3 linked regions of the Arabidopsis thaliana genome follow. The protein of the gene in region 3 interacts with the protein of the main gene of each other region in a pairwise test. Each region holds a gene or a part of one and is shown on either strand. Other genes may lie near its edges.

Evidence for each region.
Region 1: the proteins of WOX13 (region 3) and AT1G77570 interact in a two-hybrid assay, tested with the Arabidopsis thaliana proteins (one large-scale study listed by BioGRID).
Region 2: the proteins of WOX13 (region 3) and MBD3 interact in a two-hybrid assay, tested with the Arabidopsis thaliana proteins (one large-scale study listed by BioGRID).

What each region holds. Positions count from the first base shown.
Region 1 is NC_003070.9:29,139,064-29,145,934, reverse strand, and holds AT1G77570 (Winged helix-turn-helix transcription repressor DNA-binding protein), read right to left. Parts: upstream 2,586-6,871; coding exon 2,142-2,585; 3' UTR 1,924-2,141; downstream 1-1,923. Other genes in the region: AT1G77580 (filament-like protein (DUF869)), read left to right, coding at 1-1,273, 1,367-1,744; AT1G77550 (tubulin-tyrosine ligase), read left to right, coding at 2,970-3,236, 3,324-3,554, 3,682-3,806, 3,891-4,104, 4,250-4,375, 4,485-4,741, 5,239-5,346, 5,542-5,683 and 4 more.
Region 2 is NC_003075.7:174,398-181,436, forward strand, and holds MBD3 (methyl-CPG-binding domain 3), read left to right. Parts: upstream 1-4,624; coding exon 4,625-5,116; downstream 5,117-7,039. Other genes in the region: GPAT8 (glycerol-3-phosphate acyltransferase 8), read right to left, coding at 1-318, 665-1,139, 1,642-1,954, 2,027-2,337. UniProt on the Arabidopsis thaliana protein: Probable transcriptional regulator.
Region 3 is NC_003075.7:16,873,213-16,881,749, forward strand, and holds WOX13 (WUSCHEL related homeobox 13), read right to left. Parts: upstream 4,240-8,537; 5' UTR 3,956-4,239; coding exon 3,733-3,955; intron 3,309-3,732; coding exon 2,811-3,308; intron 2,688-2,810; coding exon 2,602-2,687; 3' UTR 2,311-2,601; downstream 1-2,310. Other genes in the region: AT4G35530 (phosphatidylinositolglycan-like protein), read right to left, coding at 1-68; AT4G35540 (POLLEN-EXPRESSED TRANSCRIPTION FACTOR 2), read left to right, coding at 727-2,310; DAW1 (Transducin/WD40 repeat-like superfamily protein), read left to right, coding at 8,350-8,388.

The DNA.
Region 1 (6,871 bases), on a different chromosome or scaffold from region 3:
TAGCATAAAGAAAGTGGCGAAACTTGAGGCTGAGTGCAGGAAGTTTCGGATGTTGGCTAAGTCATCAGCTTCGTTTAACGATCATCGATCTACAGATAGTCATTCTGATGGAGGGGAACGAATGGATGTGAGTTGCTCTGATTCATGGGCATCATCCACATTGATTGAGAAGAGAAGCCTTCAGGGAACTTCCTCTTCCATTGAACTTGATCTCATGGGTGATTTTCTTGAGATGGAACGTCTTGTAGCATTGCCTGAGACGCCAGATGGGAACGGTAAGAGTGGACCTGAATCAGTTACAGAAGAGGTTGTTGTTCCCTCAGAGAACTCGTTAGCTTCTGAAATAGAAGTACTGACTTCTCGCATTAAGGAACTTGAAGAGAAGTTGGAAAAGTTAGAAGCCGAGAAACATGAGCTCGAGAATGAAGTTAAATGTAACAGAGAAGAGGCTGTTGTTCATATAGAGAACTCAGAAGTACTGACTTCTCGAACTAAGGAACTTGAAGAAAAGTTGGAAAAGTTAGAAGCAGAGAAAGAGGAGCTCAAAAGTGAAGTTAAATGTAACAGAGAAAAGGCTGTTGTTCACGTAGAGAACTCATTGGCTGCTGAAATAGAAGTACTGACTTCTCGAACTAAGGAACTTGAAGAACAGTTGGAGAAGTTAGAAGCGGAGAAAGTTGAACTCGAAAGTGAAGTAAAATGTAACAGAGAAGAGGCTGTTGCTCAAGTAGAGAACTCGTTGGCTACTGAAATAGAAGTATTGACTTGCCGAATCAAGCAACTTGAGGAGAAGTTAGAGAAGTTGGAAGTAGAGAAAGATGAGCTCAAAAGTGAAGTTAAATGTAACAGGGAAGTGGAGAGCACATTGAGATTTGAGCTCGAAGCTATTGCTTGTGAAAAAATGGAGCTGGAAAATAAGTTGGAGAAGTTGGAAGTTGAGAAAGCTGAGCTGCAAATATCTTTTGACATAATCAAAGATAAATATGAAGAATCTCAAGTTTGTCTGCAAGAAATCGAGACGAAGCTGGGGGAGATACAAACGGAGATGAAACTCGTTAACGAACTAAAAGCTGAAGTAGAGTCTCAAACCATCGCAATGGAAGCAGATGCAAAGACTAAATCCGCAAAGATTGAATCTTTGGAAGAAGACATGAGAAAGGAGAGGTTTGCTTTTGATGAGCTTAGGAGAAAATGTGAGGCTCTTGAAGAAGAGATCTCTCTCCATAAAGAGAACTCAATCAAGAGTGAAAATAAAGAACCCAAGATCAAACAGGTCTGTCTCCAAAGTTCAGGTGTTAGTTAAACTTAGACTGTGTTCCATCACAATCACTTTTTTGTCCACTAAAACTTGATTACTATAATTCAGGAAGACATAGAAACAGCTGCAGGGAAACTTGCGAATTGTCAGAAAACAATAGCTTCATTGGGGAAACAGTTGCAGTCCCTTGCAACACTTGAAGATTTCTTAACCGATACACCGATAATTCCAATGGCTGCAAATGGTGTAAGCAGCAGCAGCAACTCAGAGAGTTGGAAGGTTCACAAAAACGAAACTTTCATGACAAGAAATCATCCTGAGTCCATCAAACCAACCAAAGAAACATCTCCATCTTCTTCTTCTTCTACTGCGTCTGCTGCTGTTTCAATGCCAGTTTCAACAAACCGAGGGAGTTCTGAGAAGAATCGCAATGGATTTGCAACAGTATTCACAAGAAGTAAAGACGGTATCCATCTGGCTATATAACATAACTTTGGCAGAGTAGGCAGAGAAACTTATCTCTTAGGGTTTAAAAAGGATCCGTTTTTAACACCACTTTGTTCCCTTTTCCAGATTTTGAATCCATAGTAGTAGTTTTAAAAGTTAATCTCTAGTGTAATGCAGTGGATGGATATTCCATAAAAGATGTTTCAAAAGTTTTCAATTTTCTGTTAAGAGGTTTTAGGAAGTTTCTATGTGATGTTGTTATGAATCATAATATAAGACAATAAAGAAGAGAAGCCACCATCATAAGAGAAGAATCAAAGACTAGGCATATAAAGAGGGTTCCTATAAAGAGAGAAACATACTATTGAAAAGTTCTTAGACTTGAATCTACTTGGAGACGAATATACATAATAAAGAAGACTGATTTAATGGACGATCAAATTTGCAAGTGTTGGAAGAGAAACTCGACTTGAACTCTAGCTTTCCTTGCTTTGGATTTAGCAGCTTTCCTTGCTTTACGTTTATCGCTAACCATCTTCTTCATAAGCTCCAGTTTATCTCTGATAAAATCTTCATGTCCAAATTCCAATACTCCAGTTCTTCCTTTAACTATTTTGAACCCATGAGAACGAAGGTTGGAGAAAAACCGTGAGAGGTTTGTGCCCAAGTCTACATATTTAGGCAGAATCCTTCTGTAAAACTCTCCAACATTCCAGATAATGAAACTGTTGTTGCTTTCGCTCCACGATATGATTGCATCCGTTGAAGCATCATCAACAACCTCATACACTCTCATGTAGAAATTGTAACCCATCCCTAAAACCTCACAAACTTCACAAATTAGAATCTTAGAATAATTAGGGTTTCGAGATTTTAGCATAGAGAGGAAGAGCAAGAGCATTATTTATAGACGAGCTATCAATTCAAAGGACGGTCAAGATATCAGCAAAATTTCAGCGGTCAGGATTAAAAGTTACAAAGTTTCCTTTTTTCTATTTTGTTTCCTTTTTTCTAATACGCATATATTATGTATATAAATAAGATAGCTTTCACCTAACAAGCATCCGAGGTTCTATGGTGTAGTGGTTAGCACTCTGGACTTTGAATCCAGCGACCTGGGTTCGACTCCCGGTAGGACCTCTTTTTGTTTCTTACATTTTTTTAGTTATTACTTTTCAAAATTAACCCTATTATATCACTCCCACTTCTCTTCTTCTTCTGTCGCCGAAAACGCAGCTTAAGCTAAAACCCCTCAGAGAGAACAATGAGCAAAATCGAGAGCTTTGATGATTTCGTCAAAGTACATGGAATACTTTTGGCGGCTTCAGGTTTGCCGCCGAAGCTTTACCCACGCCTCTTCGAGAAACTTGCTTACGATACTTTTGATGGCGGCGATTACTTCCAAATCGAATCCTGCGAGGATGATCAGCGACGGAAGCTTCTCCTCACTGCCGAATCTATGCCTAAAGATTCTGACGTCTTCCTTGTCGATCACGCCTGGACTTTTCGTCTTCCCGATGCCTATAAGCAGGTAACGCCTACTCTCACTCTCGAAAGAAGCTTATTGAATTTTGGATTGGTGATGAAGCTTAAGGTTTGTTTTAATCTCTTACTTCAGCTTAAGGAAATTCCTGGATTGGCTGAGAGGATGGCTTCTTTGATGAGTGTTGATATTGATGTGGATGCTGGAGAAGAAGAAGTGGCAGAGGAACTCTCTGTTGATCAGATAATTGACAATGAAATTCGTTATGCAGCAGATAAAGGATATGACTCTTTGAGATGGTTGGAGTTGGAGGGTCTTGGTGTTGATGACTCATTGTTGTCCCTGCATTTGCCTAGTAAATTTCAGGCATGTCTTTAGATCTTTCTTCTCCTTTAGTACTTTCATGCTAGACTCTAGCTCAGATGGTGAAGGTTTATTTCAAATGCTAGATTCTAAAGCTTCTTTGTTTGTGCTGCTGCCATTTTTTGGGTAGGATTTAGTGGCGCTTAGTCTTATCGGGAACAAAATAGAGAGTGCGGATGTGGTTATACAAGAGATTGTGAAGTTTAAGAATCTGAAGGCTTTGTGGCTGAATGACAATCCTGTTCTTCAGAAGAGGTAATCATGCATTTACAAAATATATGGATGTGTGTGGATATATAATTAATTTCTCATGTATTTCTTTTTTATGATTATTTTCAGTGAACGTCAGATGGCTGACGAAATATTGCAAGGCTGTCCGAGTCTTGAGATTTACAACTCGTGTTTTACCCCTAATTATGGGTTATGGGCACTTGGTTTCTGTGGAGATATCTTTGGGAAGGATAATCCTGGTTGTGTTCAGCAGGATCAACCCTTGTGCAATGTCACCTCACTTGACCTTTCAAACCGGTCAATACACAATCTAGTCAATAAGGTCAGTTTTGTCCCCCTACTTTCTCTCAGAGAGGCAGGGAGTGTAGTTTATTGACCGTAGAGGCTACAAGCATTGACGAAGGTGTATGTTTCAATTTTGTATTTTACGTGCCTGATTTATCTGCCTTTGCTTTCTTCATTTTCAGGCATTCTCTGTGCACGAGATGCCATTACTTTCTCATTTAAATATTCGTGGAAACTCATTGGATCAGAATTCTGTTGGAGAACTACTTGAAGTCTTGAAGCTCTTCCCTTCACTGTCTTCATTAGAGGTAAATGTTGGAAGTTGTCCTTATTCAGATACAAATTGAGGTTACTGTACAAAGTTAACTAAAATTTATTTATGCAGAGATGAGCTCACGTGTTACTTCTTGTTTGTAGGTTGACATACCTGGACCTCTTGGAATTAATGCTCTAGAGATTCTTGAATCGCTCTCAAACCTTTCTTTACTAAATGGCGTTGATACGGCAAAAATTTTGGAAACTGGAAAGCATGTTGTTGACTCAATGCTTCAACCACGCATTCCTGAGCTGAATCCTGATGATACTCTTGTTGATCGTGTTCTTGATGCAATGTGGTTGTATGCGCTGAATTATCGCCTTGCGGATGATGAAAAGCTTGATGAAACTTCTTTATGGTATGCAATGTTTCTCTTTTTTTTTGCTATATTAGAATTAGTGCGGTGGATTTGCTGGGGATAAGAAATAAAACTCACGGCTGTTTATATTTACTATTTAAACTATCATAACAATTTTCAGTTAAATAGACAAATTAGAGAAATCCAATATTTAATATTTGTGACGATTCTAATCCAACACTGAAAGCTGAAAGAGTTACCACTCTTTGTATGTCGGAATGACCATTTTCACTTTTGGAATGTATTCTCACCCTAGCATTTGTTTCTCTAGACTAAAGCCTTCTTTGATTTGACTGGGCGAGGTCTCCTTTGGTGTATATATGTGCAAAATTTCTATAGTATTGGGAATGAACATTTGATGCTAGTCTACTTCTTAAGAGGTTAGAATTAGGAGGGGGAATCAAACAGTTTATGGATAGTCTTGTCTGTAGTTCTTGGGCACATAATTTTTGGATATGTATGACTGTGAGTGGTGCAGTGATATCACTTTTTCGCAGGTATGTGATGGATGAATTGGGTTCAGCTTTGAGGCATAGTGATGAACCCAATTTCAAAGTAGCTCCCTTCCTTTTCATGCCTTCTGGGAAACTAGAATCTGCTGTGAGGTAGCAACTTTTAAAAAATTTCCTGCACTGCTCCTCGTATTTGTTAAATTCAACTTCTATGCGCTGTAAACACGTGTTATGTTGCTATAGTTCAAAAGTGTAATGTGGATTGACATGCGCTTCTTGATCAGGGCTCACATGTCATGTATGCAAATATTTTCTATCTTCATGTTTATTTGGTTTTATATGTTCCAGCTATTCGGTAATGTGGCCTATAAAGCATTCTCAAAAAGGTGATGAGTGCACTCGTGATTTTCTATCTGGTATTGGGGAGGACAAACAGCGGTCTGCGAGACTCACAGCCTGGTTTCAAACTCCTGAGAATTATTTTATTCATGTACTTCCTCGGTGTCCTCTTTAGCTTTCTGTTCATTAGCAGACTTCCTTTCCTCTCATTTCATACAAAGATTTTTGTTAATTAACAGATTCGCTGTCATGATTTCCTAGGAATTTGAGAAATACCAACAGAAACTGCAGGCCAAAGCCTTCGAGTCAAAACCTTCCAACCCTTCAGTTTCCCGAAGCATACAGCATAGTGATGGGTCTCCTTTGCTGGTTTACACGGATCTACCTCAAGTTGAAGAATTTCTGACACGCCCAGAATTTGTGATCAGTATGTGATTTGATCCATTTTTCATGATATCTACGTCTCATTGGATGGATATACTAAGCAATCGTCTGCATAAATGCATTAGACGAATCAAGAATTTTCTTTGTGTTTTCTGAGTTGTGTCACTTGCCTGCCTGCAGCAAATGAACCAAAAGATGCAGACATATTATGGACAAGTGTACAGGTGGATGATGAGCTCAAAAAAGAGGTGGGAATAACAGATGACCAGTACATAAATCAGTTTCCCTTTGAGGCATGTCTTGTTATGAAGCATCATCTTGCAGAGACTATTCAAATGGTAAATTCAGCAGATTATACCCTTAGATTATCATAGCACGTTAGTAACTTGTTTCTGAAATCCCTATGTTTTGCTTTACAGGGTTATGGATCTCCAAAATGGTTACAGCCTACCTATAATCTTGAAACCCAATTGTCCCAGTTTATTGGGGACTATTGTGTCCGCAAACGTGATCAATTGAACAATTTGTGGATCTTGAAACCATGGAACATGGCACGGACAATCGACACAAGTATAACCGATAATTTATCTGCTATCATCCGCATGATGGAAACTGGTCCCAAGATCTGCCAGAAGTACATAGAGCACCCTGCTTTGTTCAAGGGGAACAAGTTTGATCTGCGATATGTTGTGCTAGTGCGGAGTATTGACCCGCTGGAGATTTACCTAATAGAGATATTTTGGGTAATGCTTATTTTAATTTTCATTACAACCAATACAAGCGCTTATTTACTCATATATATCAATCCTATATGTTTGATTTCAGGTTAGGTTGTCCAACAATCCATATTCATTGGAAAAGCACAGTTTCTTTGAATATGAAACTCACTTCACTGTCATGGTATTAGTTAAGAACACTCTTTCCACATAATGATTCAGCAACTCTCGTTTTCCCT
Region 2 (7,039 bases), about 17 Mb from region 3:
ATTCGAAGCCCAAAACCGCGCCGATAACTTTCTGGACGTAATTAGCCACCTCTATAGGAGTCTTGCCACCACCGTTGACAGTCATTTCTTCAGGCAAACGATCCAAGAAAGTGGCTTCATAGCTTGGTCTTGGGTTCATGAAGAAGAAGTAAGGGTCCCAAAACTTCACACCCCTAACTGTGGTCCCGTTGAACATTCCTTGTTTACAGTTCATCGCTACTGGCACAATCCGGTCGCTTAGCTCTGCGAATAGAGCGCTAAATCTCAGTAGATACTCTTCTCTACACGTCGTGCCTTCCGGACATATCACCAAGTCGCCTGTTATACACCAAAAACATATCATTAGCTCAACAACTCCATTGATTTTTAATTTCTCAACTAAAGATTAATGTGAATGTAAGTCAATATTCAAAAGAAGTAAACAATATTATTTTATGTTCATTTATATAAATTTGGTTAGAAGATGCGTTAATTAGGTACCAAAGTAAACATCAAAGACCATACCAAAGTAATATTTACTATATTGAGATTTGCATGGGCTACTATATATGTATTCATCGAAAAATAAAAAGAAAGAAATAGAAACTCCTATTGAACCCCCTGGACAGTGAAACTTGTTATAGGTATGCTCTAGTAATATATGATGAGAAGATGTGTAAAGTACCTTTCTCGAGAAGTTTTCTCATGTTGGCAGCATCGGTGGCACGGTCACGGGTGAGGGCAACAGCAGGAATAGGAGAAAGCATAAGGGAGAGACGAGAGACACTGTAAGTGACGCAACAGATCTTACGTCCAAGAGCAATAGCAACGATGATGGGATCAAGCGCGGTACGGTGGTTAAGGACATAGAGGTTGCCAAGAGTTCCAGGGGAAGGAGGTGGAGGACGATGACCACGAATGGTTAAGTGGATCCCGAGCATCTCGTAAGTGTAACGGACAAATCTTTCAGGTAAAGGGAGGTTGAAGTAGACGCGAATGATGGAGAGGATGAAACCAAAAGGAAGCCATAGGTATGTGATAATGGCGTTTAACGGAGTTGGACGTTGCGCTAAACGCCCATCATGGAAGACTATGCGGTTCTTTAAGCGTTCTTTTGGAATCGTTGTGGCTGACTTGGTCGCATGAACCATGTAACCTTTCTGTTATAATACCAAAAACGTTATTCATTTCAAACTTATAACTAAAAGTACTAGGAAAATGTAACATATCTCTAAATTGTGTAATCAAGATTCAAAAAACTAAGCATTAAACAACAGAAGATTGTTTATGATATTTCAAGTATGTGTTCATTAAATGGACAGCCCAAAATGTTGGTGGAACTAGTAAGGTGGTTGGGGATAGAAAAATAATCCAGAGGGTCACGTGAAGTGATTGGTTGGATACATTTATGAACCTTACTAATTGCTTCCAAATCAAAAATTTCATTATTTTTATAAGATTCACGCGTAGACATAATGACACTAAACCAGTCAACAAGTTAAATTAGATTATCTAGCTTAATCAACAAGCAAATCAAACGTTTGCTTAGATTCTCAAGTTACCTCCAAAACACATCTTACACTAAACCAATCAACACTCAATAATTCAACTTAACTTTACCCTATAATCGACCAAGATTGGATAAAAAGATTGGAACAGTACCTTGCAGAGAGACATGAAATCATGATCAGAGGTTCGATCACCGAGGCCGAGATCAGGTGATTCGTTACCAAACTCTTTTAAAATGGCTAACCTCTTAAGATCACCAACAAGAACACCAGGCTTCTTCACAAATCCAGTGGCTCTATTGGTTTTAGGGTTAACTTCAATCTCTGTTCCCAAAACTTTATCACCTCCAAGATAATCCTTCACAAACGCCTCCACCATCACAATCGGATTCGCCGTCACTACCACTTTTCTCTTACACTTATCAAACACCTCAAAACTGTCTTTCCTCACATCCGCCGCGTAAAACCTAAACAAAGTTCATCAGAAAAAAACTAAAGTGATCTACTAACAAGAAAACACTCTATGTTAGATCTCGTACCGTGGAAGAACTGCGCGAGAGACAAGTTCGATATCGCGGATTTTGAGACCAGCGAATGAGATGAAGATGAGGATCTGGATACCAAGAGATTCGGATACGAATAGGTAAGAGATAATGACGAATGGTAACGAGAGAAGGAGGATTAGTCCACGTAAAAGGCTTCCAGCTTCAACAGCGACGAGCATGAAGTAAGGGAAGGAGCTTCTTGAGAGAAGCAGAGTCCCGTCAAGATCGGCGGCTATCGAATCGTACTCTCCGTCTCTGCATTCCGTTATTGGAGGGAAGTTTTGACTCTTCTTCTCCGGAGACATTTTCACTCGCTGTGTGTGTGTCTCTCTCTCTCACTCTCGTTAATGGCAGTTCTAAAGAACAGAGAGCAAAAATAAGAAGACAAGAGAGGGAACGTTATGTTTTAAATGCACCTATATTGAAGACCGTAATATTAATTCAGTGGGTTATATCTATAATCTATATCTATGTGAATGAATATGATATATATATATATATATGTATATGTCATTAACTATGAAATATCCACTAAGAGCGTAAAGTGTAGGGCCACATGTCGAATTCATTATATGAAAATGATTATATGCATCTATACATGTGGTGATATTGTTGACACAGTCGAATTGTCTATAATCTTTTTAGAGACTTTGTCTTAGATTTGGGTTTAATTATTTAGTTGAAGTGAAGTTGTTAGAAAAGTTTTAGATTTAATGTAGCTTAGATATCAACTATATATTGGTTTAGTTACTAAACCAATATATAGTTGATATTAGATTTTAATTGCATTACTGTTGGGAATAATTTAAATCTTGGAGATGATATTGAATAAACTCTGTTAAATTTCTTAACCCATCAAAATAGGGAAAATAATAAAGGATATTCTAGAAAGCTTTATGAAAGATCAGTGTTAGCCAAAACCGACAAGAACCGGACCAATACGGGCCGTAACCTCATTCTAGAAACGATCTTATCATTTCAATAGAGGCGGTGGCTCGAGTCAAAATCCCACGTGGATTAGGGTCAAGAAGACCTCTCTATAAAATGTAGGACTAATTCGACACAAAGGAAGGAACAAAATCGAGGACAAAACCGCAAAACACACGACTTAATTTTAAAACACGACTATAATTTATAGATTAACTTGTTATGCCTTGATTTTTGTATTTTGCAATCGATATTTTGACCAATAAAAAAATTATATTCGATTATTTTTATATTTTTTTTTGTAGAATGTCACAAATTGATTACTTTTGTCAAAATAATTAGTTAGTGTAAAAATATATATGACCACAACAACAACAAAAATTCTTCGTTGTGCAAGTTAGGTTGATCTTGTTCTCACTACTTGAGCAGTTGAGCTTAATTTGTTTATTTGACCGTTGGGAGTTGCACCGCTTTGAGCCGCACATTTATGCTCATTAAACATATTTATAAAAAAAACGCATGAAAGTGTTTGACCAGAGACAAAGTGTATTAGAAATTCACTAGGCTTACACAAAAAGGCATGTTGAGCTGTATTAGAAGACCCTTAACAGGCCTCCATACTAGTCTTGAAGATGGGCCGAAATTCACTAGGCTTAAAGATGCGCCGATATTCACTAGTCTTAAAGATGGCACCACAGATGGCTCCGAGACATTGCATAATCATGTAGAACACTGCTCTGGTCAGAGACAATTTCCGAGCCAAGAACAGACCAAATGTTACGAAGAATGGATTATATAATACAGTACAGTATATGGTTTTGCCTTCTTATATATGTCCACATCATTTAAAATCTTAAACCAAAATTGAATAATTTAAATAACTCATAAAACTTTTATATGTATGCTTGTCTTACATTCAAAATGCGCATTATCACTAGTTTAATATTTCTATAACTGATCAGTTTTTAATTGGTTGACACCAAATGAAGTGGTCACTGACGCTATAGGATTCTATTGGGCTGCATATTAAAGTTTTTTTAAGAATTGGAACTTTTAATATTATCTAGGGTTGAAGGAACTAAAACGCCTGTCCTACTGATGTAAGGCTAGCCCTAACCTACATGTATCTCAAGCGTCCAAATTTACGTTAATACAATTTTCAAAGCATTGTTTTTCCTCTCCTTGGAGAAAGTACATGCAAAATCAAAATTAATGGCTCCGACTTTTCGAATCACCGCAAGCTACTATCTCTTCGAGTTCTGGTTATAATAGTACTTGATTAGATACTTCTTATAAGGCTTAAAAGCCAACTTAAATGCTATTGCAGTAAAGATTTCATTCCTTCTTCACTTCACTTTACGAATCTAAAGGATATATTTAGTTCTTCTTCACTTCAACTAAAAGGCTAAACTCCCAAAAAAATATTTTTATCTCTCTCAAAACTTGAAATATGGTGAGGAAGACTACTCAAGCTACATCTCACAAGGTATCGACAATATTTTATTTTTATTATTGCATGAAGATTTGTTTTGTCAATGCATGAAGATCCCAAAACTTGAAATATGGTGTTTTATTTTTATCATTACATGAAGATTCGTTTTTTATCATTGCATCTCACAAGGTATCGACAATGTTTTATTTTTATCTTAGTCTTTGTTTGGTTTTATGTGTGTAGTGAAAACCACGTTAATTGACTCATACGCTGCACAATGTTGGAAGTGTCTTAAAGTGAGATCTATAGAGTCACAAGAAGATTATGAAGAGATTCGTAGTAAAACACTGGAAAAGTTTTTTGAATGCAAGAGATGTGAAGAACCTGGAGATATGGTAATGAACTTTGATTCCCTTACTATGCGTTGGTTTCAGGATGAACATAGTATACCCAAAACCCCTCAAGGTTTGAAGAGAGTTTTGGTCGTGAGAACAAACTGCGTGAAAGTCGATGTTTACTATGAATCATTGGCTCCTAGACGAAAGAGGTTTAAATCTATAAAGGAAGTTGCAACGTTTATTGAAGACAAGGAAGAATTTAAAGACATGACGCTTGAAGAGGTTTCTTTTGCCGCACCCAAACGGCTGAAACTAAAAAAGAAACCTGTCGATAGTCATTCTAGCTCAAGGAACACTGAGGAAGATGGTGTCTCGAGAGATGCTTAGTTTTGTCTGCTATCACTTATCAGGATCATTCATCGCTTCTCTTTATCTCTTCTCTTTTGAACTTTTGGTTTTTGTCTTTGATTTCTTTTGGTTTTTGTCGTTGAACATTTGATGCTTTATGTTTTCCCAGTTTAAGCAATTTATTTCCTCTTTTATCATATCTTTTATCATGTACTTGAGTAATCTGCCTAGTAATCTCCTTCTCTCTGAACAAACTGCTACCTAAATTACTAGCAGCAAACTTTGAATCATACACGCTTCTTAGAATTCAAAGCTTCTGAAAGTCCATCTTTGAACAACTCAACCTTTGATTTATCTTTGCACTTCTGATATTTTGACAGTCTTAGACCATTCTGGTAGCTTTCCTTGTAGCTATCTCACACTAACTGATACAGTGACGTTCTTGAGGCCCTTTTAACACAATGATTTAATCAACCTTGAGATCTTTGCAAATCATAGCTTTTGATCATTCTCTGAAATTCCTTCTCTTTGAAGCAACAATATCGAAGGTCTCTTTCTCCTTGTGATAGCAACAGATTCATAAATACTTCAATATGCGAATCCTTCTCTTTAAGAACGAGCTATGAGAAGACTGATTCTTCACCACTAACTTGTGTTTTACGTTTCTTCAACAAACTTAATTACAGGTTCTTTCATATTAATAACTCTTCATGATAAACCAAGTTCTGAAGATGCCAACGTAGAGATCAGTCTCAGACTCCATTACTCAAATGCCTTGTAGTTTCAAGCCAATGCTGACATTCATGTCTCTTTGCCTTTCATGTCACTAAAAACTCTTCGTTCCATAAGACTCTGTATCAACTGTTCTGAAGGGTCATCAGTAAGCTATGTTCCCGGACTCCAAATTGAGTGTCCTTATACCAGAATCTTGTCTCACATGTCTAGAATATCTCTGACAAAATTCATCCCATTCAGAACTCATTTGGTCATCCGTGTGATGTTTCCACCGAAACTGGTCAAAACTGAAACTTCAGATGAATTGTGCCCGGATCAGGTTGAAGAATCTCAAATAACACACAAACCAACCGTCAAAATCTCAATCCCACCGTTGAAAATCAAGACAGAAAAGCTTGCCACAAAGTTTCGGCTCGATCAGATTACATTTCACCAACCAAACGTTTCCTTGAATTAGACATTTCAGAACTGGTTCATATCTCCTCTTTCTTCTCTTCTCCCCCATGGTTGCACTTTGTTAATCTCTTTCATCACACAACATTCTTTATGTGACCAACAAGATCATCTTTTCCTTAAAAATGTGCTCTCCAAGCTAGCCTTTAAGATTCTATTTTACAGTTTCTTGTCTTAAGGCAACTAAAATTCTGCCTGTGAGACAATCTCTAAGAGATCTATAATCTACATAACCTTAATCTTGTTATTTGCACCGGAATCTCAGACTTAAAGTTTCTCAGAAGAAATAAGATGATGATGTTTATCGCCCTTGCTAGAATCACCGGAGTAACCAAAGCACCACATAGCATATGAAAAATTCCCAACTGTTTAGCTATGTGGTAAGATGAAAATTTTCGATGTGGTATAAAGGCAGCTTAGGTTAAGACAGCTTCGAGGCACTAGTAGTAGATTTTTATGTGTTATAAAGGCAGACTCATTACAAATTTTGTTTACTCAGAATAGATATCAAACTTATGAAACCTATCAAAATGCTAATTTTCATTGAAGATGGCATGAGCCAAACGAAGGTTGGCAATAGCTAAGGTCAAACCAACAAAAGTTTGCGACTTGCGTATATAGTTATATCAAAGGAAAGTTGACGCGAGATATAGTCAAAGTATCAAAATAGACATTTGCATAGATAGACAAAAAATAACGCAGGTTAAAGGTACACATGAAAATAGTCTCATAAAAGATGAGTATTTTGTGACCTTTTGAGCATCCTAGGTAGAG
Region 3 (8,537 bases):
CTAGTTGACTTACTTCCACTTTCGTGTATGTAAGTGTATCTCTTATTCGAAACAGACAAGCTCACCATTTCAAAGCTAGTTTAGTTGAAAAACAGTCAAATGTATCACCGTCGTTTTACTCCCAACTCATATACGAACCTGCCCAAGGTTAGCTTTCTCAATACCCAAGTAACAATTTTCAAACTTTGAGTCTCAGTCAAATCGGATAGCAACAAAACTTCTCTGCGGCTTTCCGTCGAACACCATGCGTGCGTTATAATAACCCCTCTTGAAATCTCATAAATCTCTCTAACTATCTCCACACAACTTCCTCGAAAACACAGTAGCAATCTATCAAAAAGGACGAAGCAAGGATTCACCCAACGAACGAAAGCCACAATTCTTCGAATTGATCAAATCTGAAACCGGCTTCTCTTACCGGTAAAGAGATAAAAGACGGCACTATGGTGGAGGAGACAACAAAAAGCCAAAAGAGAGAAAATAATACAAACTGTGTGGCGTCCTAAATAAAACACCCTGGCGTTTTTGTTTTATTCATATTAACATCATGCCGTTTTCATCTCGACAATATAAAAACCTAGCTTATTTTTAAGGAAAGGTCAAATCTTAATTAGTTTTGATTTCTCTCTCCAGTACTTCTCGATTCGCCGGCGATCCGAATCTCATTCTTCTGCTTGTCGGAAAAAAAAACCCGTAATTTAAAGTGTGAAGCTTTCGGTTTGAATCATGCGTTGCAAGAGATGCAATGGAAGCAACTTTGAACGCGACGAAGACACGGGGAATTCGTATTGCGGTGGATGTGGGACATTACGAGAGTATGATAATTATGAGGCACAACTTGGCGGCATAAGAGGACCTCAAGGTACATATATACGAGTAGGCACCATTGGTAGAGGCTCTGTTCTTGATTATAAAGACAAGAAGATCTATGAAGCCAACAATTTAATTGAGGAGACAACAGAAAGATTGAATCTTGGTAATAAAACTGAAGTGATTAAGAGTATGATTAGTAAGCTTACTGATGGGGAATTTGGACAAGGTGAGTGGTTCCCTATTTTGATTGGAGCTTGTTGTTATGCTGTGGTAAGAGAAGAAGGGAAAGGTGTTTTGTCTATGGAAGAGGTTGCTTATGAAGTTGGATGTGATTTGCATCAGTTAGGGCCTATGATTAAGCGTGTTGTGGATCATCTAGATTTGGAATTGCGAGAGTTTGATCTTGTGGGTTTGTTTACCAAGACGGTTACTAATTCACCGAGATTGACTGATGTTGATAGGGATAAGAAGGAGAAGATAATAAAGCAAGGGACTTTCCTGATGAATTGTGCGTTGAAATGGTTTTTGTCGACGGGGAGGAGACCAATGCCTTTGGTTGTGGCTGTTTTGGCGTTTGTTGTTCAAGTGAATGGTGTGAAGGTAAAGATTGATGATTTGGCGAAAGATGCTAGTGTTTCGTTGACTACTTGTAAAACGCGGTATAAAGAGTTATCTGAGAAGCTTGTGAAGGTTGCTGAAGAGGTGGGTTTGCCTTGGGCGAAAGATGTTACTGTGAAGAATGTTTTGAAACATTCAGGAACTTTGTTTGCTTTAATGGAAGCCAAGTCCATGAAAAAGAGAAAACAAGGGACTGGGAAAGAATTAGTTAGAACTGATGGATTTTGTGTGGAGGATTTAGTGATGGACTGCCTAAGCAAAGAATCTATGTATTGTTATGATGATGATGCTCGTCAAGATACTATGTCTCGGTATTTTGATGTAGAAGGTGAACGTCAGCTTAGTTTATGTAACTATGATGATAATATATCGGAGAATCAGTTGTCTACAAAGTATAATGAATTTGAGGATCGAGTTTGTGGTGGGACTCTTGCGAAAAGAAGTCAGGGAAGTAGTCAGAGTATGTGGCAAAGGAGATCTGTTTTTGGAATGGTGTCAACTGAAAATTGGTGGAAAGGGAAATCGGAATTGAGTAAAAGGCTTTTGCTCAAAGACTTGTTGGAGAAAGATGTAGGGCTTGAAGCTTTGCCTCCTTCTTACATAAAGGGTTGCGTTGCAGTTGAAAGACGAAGAGAAAAGATTAAGGCAGCTAAGTTGCGGATTAATGCAATACAACATCCTTCTGACAATGTTAGTGAAGGTGCGTTGTCTTTGGAGCTTGAACATAGCAAGAAGAAAAGGAAGAAAGGATCTGAAATTGATTGGGAGGATTTGGTTATACAGACTCTGGTCTTACACAATGTGAATGAGGAAGAAATAGAGAAAGGCCATTACAAAACTTTGTTAGACTTGCATGTTTTCAACTCTGGAGAGGTTTGAATTGAAATGTTTTTCTCTTGGAATTTTTTTATTTCTTACAGTATAATTCATTTAAGGATGTAAAAATCGTTCTGAATGCAGAAATTATCAAAGCAAGCATCACAAGACGATTCAACAATCCATGTAAATGTTTCTCTGAAAATGATTAATAAGATAAACTACTTGTTTCTTTAATAAGCCCTGAAAGAAACAATTTAAGAAAAACAAAAGTCTAATACTGCTTATGACTGACTACCAAATCCATTTCATTGATCTCTCTGATAATTAGAAGTTTCCTCAGCTTGTATTCAATCAGCCTGACATGCCATAATCTTCAACATGATCATAAAGGTTGTAACTTTCCGCCAGTCCCATCTTTCCAACAAGATGCTCATCCCCTACAAACACAAATCACAAGAAATTATCTGAGACAGACACAACTTACTTGACTATTTCTTCAAAGCCAATGTCTCTGTTTTTTTCAGTTACGTGTGAACTAAAAAGGTATCTTTGTTACTTACTTGGGTTTGATAGAACATCTAGCAAGTGAAGGTCTGAGCTAATCTCAGGGCTCTGAAAGCAAAGATCTTCAGGCCTAGGAGCAGTAGTTGTTGCTGTTGTTGTCCCTAACCCATTATTGTTGCTATTTCCATCTGGAAGACCAAGAAGACTCTCTGGCCTCACTACTCTCTTCTCATTCAATGCTTCAACTTCAGTCTCTACCTCAGACTCACCATTATTATTTCCAGAAGAACCTCCACCATGCTGCTTCCTCTTGGATCGAGCACGTCGGTTCTGGAACCAGTTATAGACATTTTGTTCAGCAATCTGGCCGTGTTGGCTCAGCTCTTCTGTTATGTCTTTGATCTTCTGCTTGCTCGGTGTTCCCGTGCCTTGATCGAATATACGTTCCAGAATCTGAAGCTGGACTGGCGTAGGAGTCCACCTCTGTCTAGCTGTCATCTTATGACCTAAAGATGACATCATTGGGTCTGCATATAGTCCTCCCATTCTCCCTCCTGTTACCAACAACAGACAAATGAGCAGAGTTGTTAAAAGTTAAACTAAATAAAAAAACTGAAACTTTATATCTCAAGAACACATCATCAAGCTAAAAACACCTATTTTGGTGGGAAATTCTCGAAGCTCAATTGAAAGATTCAAAGGAGTGATTCTAGAATTCCTCAAGAACCATTATTTTCCTTATTCTTAGCTCAAAAATCCACGAAAAGGATTGGTCTTTGAATCAGATTTAAGCCAACAAATGCTTAAAAGGCAGAGAATTTTCAATTACCCATACACCAAAGTGAAGAAGAATCACTAAAAAATCAATTAAACCACACAAAAATTCTGAATTTTTTTAAAAATTTCAAAAGGAGTCCTTTTTTTATCTTTAGATGAACAGAGAAGAAGAAACTAAATGATAGAAGAAAGGATAGAAACCTGCAAGATCTTGTTGAGCAGTGAGAGTTTTATGCATCTCAACAAGACGCTCACAAATGGTGCCGTAAATAGCAATCTGTTTCCTGAGAGTTTCATACTGCTCATCGGTCATCACCTTCACGTACATTCCTCCTCCGGCGCCGGAGCCGCCATTAACGTCGATCCCTTGAAGATTAGAAGAGTGATGGTTATTGGGTTGTAGCTGATTATCCCATTCCATCATCTCTTTTGTCAGAATTTCGCTCAGAAGATTTCTCTCTTTCTCTGTGTGAACGAAGGAAACAGAGCAAAGTCAGTGCTTTTTCGGGAGTAGAAGGAAAGGTAAAGGCAGAAAAGGACAAAAAAAACTTAATTTATGTTATTCTTTTGTTCTATATTGAAATTATAATATATAGTTTCATTACAAAGGAAAAGACAAATAAGAAGACGGTAATGATTCTTTGACAATCGTTAAAGGAAACTATTTAACCAACGGTTATTTTAGTTCCTAATTTGGAAATTGACCGTTTGAGATTTCACATACGGTTAAACGGCTACTTCCATATCTGAATATTTACATTACCATAATCTAAATGTTATTTGATTTATAGTTGGAGAGAGCCGTTGCTATTTTATTTTATGGAAATAACATGTCTGGATGCAATCGACTTGATACAAATATTAACAGCTAGTTTGATCGTATCAATGAAGTAGATTGTTAGTTTTTTTTTATAGTCGTTGGTTGGTACTTTTCAAGAAACTGAATTACTTTTTTCTTTTCAATATCCATTCTTCAAGTTATGTATTTTGTTTACACCGAAAAGTTTTTTCCTTATGCTTTTTTAGTCCAATTTGTGTTATATTTTTGGGTCAACAGTCAAAATGGTGGTATACAACTTTTTAAAAATGCGATAAAGAGCACTTGTGGCAAAATAAATAAACACTTTTAATTGCCTCTTTTCCTGACCGATTAACTGACATTCCGTTGATTGATAAATTTTGGTTGCGATCTAACTTTTCTGACACATTCTAGGTTATATTTTTCTCAATTATTCTATAGAAGAGTATTAGCTTCACCGTCTTTTGCAATCCCTATCATCTAATTCAATAAGAAACCTTTAAGAAAAACCAAAAAGAAAAAAAAAATTGTTGGGCCAGTCAGGACTTATAAGTTAAGGAGCGGCGACCCAAAAAGAAAATAAATAGTTTCCACGTGTCGTTTAAACAGTAGAATTTGTAGGTGGTCGGTGTCCGCCGCCCATGTTCCACGGGCGCACTTAGATTTTAATATGATCTAATCTGACTCATTAATTGCCAATAAAATTGATCTCTGTCGAATAACCAGGCCAAACAATGAAATGTGACCATGGTCGACAAAAACATGAAGATAAAGAAAAATATAATATGTGGTCATGACTCATGCCGTATCGTAGTCGGGGGCGTAGTAGTGTTTTGTCGGAACGTGTAAATAATTAGCTCTTCTACTTAATTCTGTGACTTTTTTTTTTACACTAATACACAAATTATTACTTTAATTTTTCAGCCAAAACTTGAAATTTATACTTGCTTCACAATTCTATTCAAGTCATTGTCTTCGTAACCTATACGTAAAAATTATCGGAACTTTTGTTTATTTAATTAGTATCGTCGTTTTTTCTTTAAATGATATAACGCCTCATCGTTTTTTCCGGAAAGTGTTTTCGTTTCGGTAATTTTTTTAATTGTCAACATTATGGAAGAAAATAATGAGGTTTGCATGTGCGACCCTAAGTCAAGTATCGAGACCAAGCAGAAGCAGTCTATCTAAATACCAAAAAGTCCATATTCACACAAATATAGATACATTTTATTTATTGTCATTAGATGATAGGAAAATTAGATTAATACTCACAAAATTTAAATATTCTAATACTTGAATTATATATATATATATATATATATATATATTACAGAAAAGAATAATTTACATTAGATGATTTTTTGATTAATTAAGTTGAGATTTTTTACTAACAAAGCTCATTAATTTAAAAAATTTACCAGTATAATAATCATTTATTTTTAAAATTATACATTAGATGATTATTTTCTAGTTTATGTCTAGGAGTAGAACATTCAACCACCGGGACAATATAGAGACACAAACGGAAATATCCAGAACAAGACATTATTTACGTAAGCATTATCAATCGACCAAATGATAAGGAATTTAAATATAGATGAAAATAGTTGCATACAAATTTGTCCATATATATATACATAATCTTAATTACATGACTGACTTAGTGATGAGCCATATTATAACCCATTGGATTCTCTTTGGCCCAGCTTTCTTTGGATTCTTCTTTTAGATTGGAGAGTTTGGTGTACCTATAGCTTCTCTTGTCTTCTATCCTTATTTTATGCTTTCTTCTCTGTTTCCTATCATTGAAATCTATATTCTTAATCCCGGTTTACAAATCTACTTACTGTTGTTTTTTACCCTGTTGACCACTGCTAATTATTATTATACGCTGAATCTTTCCCTACCAAAGAAAATAAATATATACGGTGAATCTTACTTAAAAACGTATATATATAGTAGGATTGTGAAAAGAAAAAGAAAAAAGCTTCAGTATGAACAAAACTTGAACTCAAAGTGAAGACAACTTACTTATTGCACCAGTACTTAAAAAATGATTTATCCAGGCCTATATTTATTATCTCCTAACAGCCCATCTCAGCCCACCAGGTTGACGGTAGGATCAATTGTTGTATAATGGATTAGTGTTTTTTTTGTTTGTGTGTCATTGTGTGCTGCTGTTTACTCACCATCTAGACGTTACAAATGTGTTGATTTTGATCAAATATCGAACTTCGCACTAATAACCGAATCTCTGTTAAAGTTTTCACGTTTTTTGGTGTCTCGGTTTTTCTAATGTCATTACAGAAACCGTTTCACTAGTATTACTTATCTTGATCTTGTTGTATATATTATCCTTCTTGATGGTGAACGAGAACAACGTTTCACTTTAAAAGGAGAATAAGATATTTCAGTTTTCGTTAGGATGGCTGTAGCTTGTAGAGTTGTAGTTATCAATTCAAAGTGGATAAATAAAGTTGAGAAATCCAATAATATATAAAACAAAAGCTATTCAAGGAAAAAAAAAAAAACCCACAAAGTTAAAGAGACCGTATCAGAGGAATGATATATTCAGGATGGGTCTAACTTTGGTTGTTGCTTTCACATACAACCCATTCTATTACGCTAAGAATCGCAATAGAAAATGGCAATTGCAAAATATATATTTTTAGCTTTTATCAAAAAGACAACAAATACTAATGTTTATGAGTTTTTCTTGTATTTTCATTTATTTATAGATCAAAATAGTCGGTGGTCAGAGCACTCAAAGAAAAAGGCAGCGTCATCTCACACCGTCCATCTACATATCGGACGTCTCTCGTGAGACCACGTTAAAAAGGGCAGATCAGATCACCAACTTCATCTTAGAGGGACCCCTATAACAGATTAGCACTTGCCACGTGTACTCTATTGACTTGTTTTCCACAACCTGATTCACATAAAAGAGAAAAGAGTAGAATATCTATCAATTTAGCTGATCTTCTTACCAAAAACAAAAAAATATGATTAATCTGATCATTATAAACACACAAAAACATTGAATCTTTGTTAGATGCGAAAATAATTTTTTTTTAATTAATTAGATTAAAGTTTCTATGTAAATTTTTAATTAATCTGGCCTATTGAGCTTTCACTCTACTCAAAAAGAGACCTGCAAAAGCTCCAAGTCATGTGTTGGTTGGATGAGTTAATAAGGACCATTGTCCTACATATGTACTCTTATCGCATGGATTAAGATTTATGTGGTAGTAAATTATTTTATTTTTGATCAATAGAATATCCGCGACGCTAGAGTTTTATCAGAATTCAAAAATACTTTTAATTAGTGGATATTTAGATTTCATTTGCAGGTTAATTACAAATTTCCGACTAGAATACAACAATTTTAATTCGTTTTAAAATGTTTATTATAGTTTAGATATTATTTTGTCACGAATACTATATATATGCCACCTATGTGTTAAAATTTTCATAAATTACCAAGAAAAAGTATGATTTTGTCCTTTTGAAATGAAAATCAATCAAAAAATTTATATACACATTTGAATATCTAATGAATTTTAGTTGAAATTTTGGAAAGACACAATTCAGTAATAAAATGTGTATTTCTTTGATTTTTTTTGTTTTGTGTGGTCAAATTCGTTGGAAATACTTAAAAATGTGTTGAAAATTGAAATGATTAATCTTAATTACATCACATGAATATTGACTAAAATGAAATAATAGTATATGATATGTTGCCATAAATGTTATGATGAATTAACTTTATAATTTTCGCCGTTTATAATAAACCGTCAAATCAAAGGAACCGTTACTTCTCAACACTCACTTCTTCTTCTTCTTCTTCTTCTTTTTCTTCTTCTTTTTCTTTCTATCTCTCTCTATCTTCTCTCTAATGTCCGAGGAATTGAACCAGTGATTTGGTGATCTCAAAGACTCTCAAAAATTTCGTGTTTGATCTTTGTCTATTTTCATTTGTTCGCTTCGGGTTATAAGTTAACTTCACCGTTGGATAAAAGATGTTCGTGAAGAAGTTGGTCGAGATAGCAGCCAAGAAGGTACACAACGATCCGATAATATGATTTCTTCTTTCTAATCTTCTTCGGCTATTGGGTTTATGAGAGATTCAGTGAACAATGATGGTTCAAAAGTGTGATTCGATTCGAAATCCTTTAAGTTTACCTAAATCGATGTTAGATCCATTTCT